Elephas maximus indicus: one gene and its partner. The protein of the gene in region 1 purifies or fractionates together with the protein of each later gene. This does not show direct contact. Links are inferred from orthologs where the notes say so. Each region holds a gene or a part of one and is shown on either strand. Other genes may lie near its edges.

The links. Proteins that work in one complex are often made in the same cells at the same time.
Region 2: the proteins of TRMT112 (region 1) and ALKBH8 purify together in Homo sapiens (co-immunoprecipitation; 3 studies listed by IntAct, with this or other methods). This does not show direct contact. The link is inferred for Elephas maximus indicus from reciprocal best matches to the Homo sapiens genes TRMT112 and ALKBH8.

The regions. Positions count from the first base shown.
Region 1 is NC_064825.1:127,494,068-127,496,807, forward strand, and holds TRMT112 (multifunctional methyltransferase subunit TRM112-like protein), read right to left. Parts: upstream 1,472-2,740; 5' UTR 1,373-1,471; coding exon 1,295-1,372; intron 1,206-1,294; coding exon 1,104-1,205; intron 1,002-1,103; coding exon 897-1,001; intron 820-896; coding exon 712-819; 3' UTR 558-711; downstream 1-557. Other genes in the region: PRDX5 (peroxiredoxin-5, mitochondrial), read left to right, coding at 2,009-2,194. UniProt on the Homo sapiens protein: Acts as an activator of both rRNA/tRNA and protein methyltransferases. Together with methyltransferase BUD23, methylates the N(7) position of a guanine in 18S rRNA.
Region 2 is NC_064825.1:12,297,626-12,301,380, reverse strand, and holds the start of ALKBH8 (alkylated DNA repair protein alkB homolog 8), read right to left. Parts: upstream 2,307-3,755; 5' UTR 1,667-2,306; coding exon 1,578-1,666; intron 1,054-1,577; coding exon of another isoform or gene 1,039-1,053; coding exon 903-1,038; intron 1-902.

The DNA.
Region 1 (2,740 bases):
TGTGTGCCCATCCTGTGGGCAGTGCTGCCCCTTGCAAGCCATAATGTGCCCCCAGAGTGTAGGGGGCCTTGCGGAAGCCATACGGGGCTCCAGGGGTGGTGTGGGGGGCAGAAGCCTGATCTCAGGGAGGGAAGGGGGTGGAGACTACAGTCTCCCAGTGGGTGATGCTTTTGCTGCTGCTTAATCCGACCCCCCCCTCCAGAGCAGAGGGGGACTTGGAAAGCAAAGGCCTTGCCCCCTTCGCTCCTCTCCTCATCATTTGCATTGGGCATTACTGCCCCGCCCCTTGAAGCAATAACTCCAAGCAGGCTCCAACCCCTGGACCCCCTGGGGTGGCCAGAGCCCCCATTAGCTCCTACCCGGCCTCCTCAGGGGGTAGGGAGAGCACTGCCTCTATGCCCTGCAGAGCAATAACACTATATTTATTTTTTGGTTTGGCCAGGGAGGCGCAGGGACATGGGGCAAGCCAAGGCCCAGAGCCTTTGGCTGTACAGAGACTCTATTTTAATGTATATTTGCTGCAAAGAGAAACCGCTTTTGGTTTTGAAACTTTAATGATAAAAAAAAATATATCCTATCGAGCTCAAGAACACTCTGTTCGGTGTGTCACTGGGCGGACGGTTGAAGATGCACACGACAAAGCCAGCAAACAATATACAAAAAAGCAAAGATACACACGGTTCCCGAACGAAAAAGGGGTGTCTGGGAAATTTAAGTCTCGGTTTCCTCATCGTTCAGCAGCATGTTGGGGATCCCGCGGCTGATGGGGAAGAGACGTCCGGACTCTGGGCATTGGAGGGTGCCCTCCAACACGTCCACCTGCGGGGAGGGGTGACAGCTGACACTGGCGGCCTGGGGCGGGGTAACGGGGGGAGAAGGTGGTGCGCCAGTCTCACCTCCAGCAGCACGTGGTGCATCTTCCTCAGAAATTTTTCATCGCGCTCGTATCCCTCAGTCGGCGCTTTGGGGACCTCGACCAGATGCAACTGCGGGCAAGAGGCCTAAATCATGTCTGGGCATCCCTGACCTTCCCCCTCGGGCCAGAGCCAGGTCCCGGGGGAGCGGGGTGACCACCCCCGGGGTGTCCACGGGCGGGTTCTCACGGTATCTGCCGCCTCCAGAAGAGCCGCCCACTCCACCTTGGGTATCATCCGCGCCACGAAGTCGGGGTTGAACTCCACGGGGTTGATGCGGACCTCGGTGGCCTGCAGGGCGGATCGGTGAGTTAGGCAGGACGGGACCCCTGCTTCCCCATCCCACCTGGGCGAGGCGCAAGAGGACCCCGGGCAGGTACCTGGAGCCGCAGGGGATAGCCGCGGGGCCCCACCCCCCGCACATGCGAGCTCAGCAAGTTGTGGGTGAGCAGCTTCATGTCGCCACTACGCGCTCGGGCATAGACCGGAGCCGGAAAAAGGCCCGCACCCCGTGCGTCACATCCGGGGCTGCGCCACTCTATCCCATTGGACGGCCGGGAGGACCGGAAGCGGCGAGCTTGCTGGAAGTACTCTTGCCTCTCGCCAGAGCTGTGGGCCGTAGAAACCGTCGGATCACGCGCCGCCGCCGGAAGCGTCCGCTCCTGCGGCGCACGCCCACTGGTTTTGGCGGGTCCCAGCCTCCCCCGGCTCCTGGAGTGTAAGTCACTTGTGAAACAATTGCGGTGCAGGGGGCCGCGTTGAATGCAAATAAACGTGGTTTTGCCTCTCACACAGGCGCCTGACCGCCCTCCATCCAAATAGAGCGGGACCTCCCCTTTTATGCAAATAGCTGCGGGACTGCCGAGTGCTCCGCCCCGTTTGTAATTGCGGCGTGGCCCCTCCCCGTATGCAAATAAGCGGAGTCGCGGTAGCTTGGTCCCCAGCGCTGCAGCCTACTGGCCGGTGGGCGGTCGCTGGAGGCCCGCGGAGCAGAAGCCCCACCTTTCACAGGCTCTGGGGTTCGCTCGCTTCGGGCCCCGCCTCCTGCGGGGGTCGGCCCGAGAGACCTGGCGGTTGCTGTCGCAGGGCTGGGCATGGGGCTGGCGGGGTTGCGCGTTCTGGGCGGTCCAGCGGGTTTGGTGCTCAGTGGGGCGGCCGTCGTTGAGTCTGCAGCAGCGGCAGCGGTGGGAGCAGGACGGCGACCGGGAGGAAGAGGAGAGTGGACGCTTGGCGGGACTCGCAGTTTCAACAGAGCAGCCGCAGCCATGGCCCCGATCAAGGTGACCGCCTGCCTGGCCGGACCCGACCCCGTCTCTTCCCAGAACCGCCACCCGTCCCACTCGTCTGGGGGTGTCACCCTCTGTTTTGCCCTTCGGAGCCCTCCCGCCGCTGGTCCCCTCACCCTTCATCAAGACCGCCCTGACTGCTCCCACCCCCTTTCTCGCCACAATTTGGAGCTTCGTGCCCTTTTTGTCCGGGAACAGTCTAGGGCCTTCTCGTTCCCCCATCTTCTGGGACCATCTCCTTCGCCCCAGGGCTCCCTCCCCACTCTCCGCAGGTTCCCCACCGTAACCTATCCCACACTTTTGTCATTGCAAGGCATCGCTCTTCACCCCCCCACCACCCCCGCTTAAACAATTGTTGACCCTCAGAGCCTGTTTTTTTTTTTTTTTGCCCGTTCTCCTCCGCGACATTTTTCCCTCTACCCAGAGTTAATTTTCATCTTTCTGTTCAGTCTTTTACTCCTCTCGTCCTCTGAAACCACCCACAGTCCCTTCCCCCCTTTCCCTCCCACACCCTCTGAGATCCGCTCTGCCTCTACATCC
Region 2 (3,755 bases), about 120 Mb from region 1:
AGGCTGTGATCTTCACAGAAGCAGACGGTAGCATCTTTCTCCCACGGAACCACTGGTGGGTGAGAACCACAGACCTTTTAGTTAGCAGCTGAGCATTTAAGCACTGCCCTACCAGGGCTCCTTACGAAGTCTCATGTCCCTCATATACATTATCTCATTTACTTGCTGCCTTCAGATAATGAAAAGGCTTTGTAAATAAAATCTAACAAGTGAAAAATGTTTTGTAGCATATGATCAAAGCACTTTTTTATGCTACAGATGAAGCTGAGTACGGAAAAAAGAAGACCGCATTAGGACACAAAAGACGTAGCTTTAAGTGTCTATTTACCTACTTCCCACTTTATATTAATAAACACATCACAAGTACTCAGAACCTTAGTGTTCTCGCCTATCTCATAGGGATGTTTAGGGAATTAAATATTATAATAAACATAATTATACTTTGGAAAATGAAAAGAGATGTACAGTGTTACCATTGTTAATATATACCCACAACTTTCTTCAGTTCAATTAACACAATTAATGGGAATTGAATCCATAGACTAGGCTACAAACTAGAGCAAAAGTAGAAAGTTAGCAGGTCCTATCATATGTATGGAGCTCTGGTGGTACAGTAGTTAAGTGCTACAGCTGCTAACCAAGAGGTCGGCAGTTTGAATCCACCAGCTGCTCCTTGGAAACTAACCCTTGGGGCAGTTCTACTCTGTCCTACAGGGTTGCTATGAGTCGGAATCCACTCCACAGCAATGGTTTTTTTTGATCATGTGTGTATTTAATACGGATATAACACATGACTAAATAATTACAGGCTTTTTCTCTGAGAAATTATTAGCATATATTAATACAATAGGTTACTATGGCAATACATTTACATTCAAACGATCATAGTAGTTTTAGGTCACCTGAGTGGCATAGGACACTGTCTCAATGCCTTCGTGTCTCAGCAAAGTGTGCCTGGCTTTAATCTGTTTCCTTAAGAACTTCTTCTCAGTTTTACTGCGTTTGTGATCACTTTGATGGTTGCCGTCCATAGCAATACTGAAAAAAAAAAGACTAAAAAGTGTCAATATCAATTATAATGATGCTGTTCATACATTCTACAGTTTAGAAATATTTCTGTGACAATTTTTAAAAATTCTTGGTTTTTCTTTTACCAAGAAATGAGAATAAACAGATCCACAGACAATAAAGTAACGTCTAAGAAAGTAACAAAGTGGTAAGAACATCCAATAGCATCTCCAGGGGTTCTAAAAAACATTCTAATACTTTAGGTCCATTAAGTGAGCTACTTTACCCTGAGGTGATGTATCTCTTTACTTATGAAATCCTTGGTAAAACGTATGTCTTAGTTATCTAAAACCAAAAACCAAAACCAAACCCACTGCCGTCGAGTCAATTCCAACTCATAGCGACCCTATAGGACAGAGTAGAACTGCCCCATAGAGTTTCCAAGGAGCACTTGGAGGATTTGAACTGCCGATCTCTTGGTTAGCAGCTATAGCACTTAACCACTATGCCACGAGGGTTTCCTAGTGCTGGTAAAACAAAAATACCACAACAGAAATCTAGTCTCTCACAGTTTAGAACGTGATAAGTCCGAATTCAGGGTTCCAGCTCCATAGGAAGGCCTTCTCTCTCTCTCAGTTCTGGGTAAGGTCCTTATCATCAATCTTCCCCTGGTCTAGGAGTTCCTCAGTGCAGGGACCCCAGGTCCTAGGACATGCTCCGCTCCCAGCTCTTCTTTCTTGTAGTAGATGGTCCCTCTCTTCTCTGCTTGCTTCTTTCTTTTATATCTCAAAAGAGATTGACTCAAAATACAACCTAATCCTATAGAATGTGTCCTGCCTAATTAACATAAAAAAAATTAACATAGCTGCTGCTAATCCTGCCTCATTAATACCAAAGACGTTAGGATTTACAAAAAAACTCTTTGCCTTCAAGTTGATTCTGACTCATAGAGACCCTACAGGATAGAGTAGAACTGTCCCATAGGGTTTCCAAGGAGGAGCTGGTGAATTCAAACTGCCAGAACCTTTCAGTTAGCAGCTGAGCTCTTTATCTCTGTGCCACCAGGTCTCTATACTCATAGAATAATTACATCAGATCACAAAACAGAAGATAACCTCACAATACTGGGAATCATTCCCTAGCTAAGTGGACACAAATTGGGGGGGGGGTCACAATTCAATCCATGACAATGTGCCACAAATTTCACAAATACACTGTTAGGACCAAATCTAATAGATATGTGTACATATGTGTACGTGTGTGCGCGGGTATATATATATCTCATATTGTATGTATACACACACACAGTATGATTCCATTTACATAAAGTCTGAAATCTAAAAATAAGTCTATATGTGTTTAGAAATACACATATAGTTCAGGAAAACAGAAAAACACTAAACAATGAAAGAGTATGACACATCTTGGTAATACAGTTAACACACTGAGCTACTAACTGTAAGGTTGGAGTGCACCTACAGACACCTGGGAAAAAAGGTCTGGCTATTGATTTCCAAAAAATCAGCCACTGAAAACCTTATGGAGAACAGTTCTAGCTGACACACATAGGGTTGCCACAAGTCAGAATCGACTCAACGGCAACTGGTTTATACAATTAAGTGCTAATAGCACAGTATTTAGGTGTGACGTGAATTAGAGACAAAAAAAAAAAAAAAAAACTGGAAAAACTTGGGAAGACTTCAAAACAGAAGAGAATTTGGCTGAATACTGAAGAATAAGAAGAATATGGAGTCATATGGAAAGAAAATATGCAGTAAAGCTATAAAGAACAGAAGCTACAAAGAAAAATGGACAAGTCTGGCAAAGACAGAGGAGGTAAGCATAGTTTTCAGAGCACAGTGTTTGCTAACCCAATGGTCCCACTCTCTGCACACTTTTTAAAGTCTTCAAAGTTACAAACTGAATGTAGAGAGTTAAATCATATTCCAAAACACCTCACAAACAAGACAGGCAAAACTCTAATTACAAATCTCAAGAGAAGGAAAATGCCAGGCCTATGGAAAAGACAGCCAGACCAGCCTAACTAGCACACAGAGTGCATGACAGGCGCTAAGGCTGGGAAAGTAAGCTGGCTGGAGAGCACAGAAGGGAGATGAGAGGCATGGGAACCTGCAGTAATCCAGCTTGACAAGTGGAAATGCTGGCCTGATCTAGGGTGGAGGCAGCAGGAAGAAAGCAAAGGCGGGAGTCATGTAGAATCAATCGGCCTTGATGACCACCCAGAAGTGAGGAGAGGGAAATCAAAGATGACTTCTAGGTTGGAGCCTGAGTGACTAAGAGACTAGTGATGTCATTTCAAAACTGGAAAGTCAGGATGAGCTGCTCTGTAAGGGAGGTAATGAGTCAGATTTAGGATATATCATAGATGAACTACTAGTGAGATCTACAGTTGCAATGTCTGGCTAGTAGATGACAATACGAAGTGGCTCTCAGGAGAGAGACTGAGATTACAGACAGGTTTTGAAGTGATCACTAGACAGGAAGGGGATAGCTGAATGGATATTTCTAACATAGCACTAATTGTAATTATTTATTCTAATGTCTGTTGCCTTGCAATACTCTACCAGCACTTTGATGACAGGGATTAAATCATACTTTTATTAGTTTCCCCAGAATCTCGTTGGTGCTATGAGGCAATATAACACAGCAGTTCGGAGTCAAATCTCAGGTCTACCACTTATTAGTTGTATGAACCTGTTGAGTTAGTTCTCATCTCTGTGCTTCAG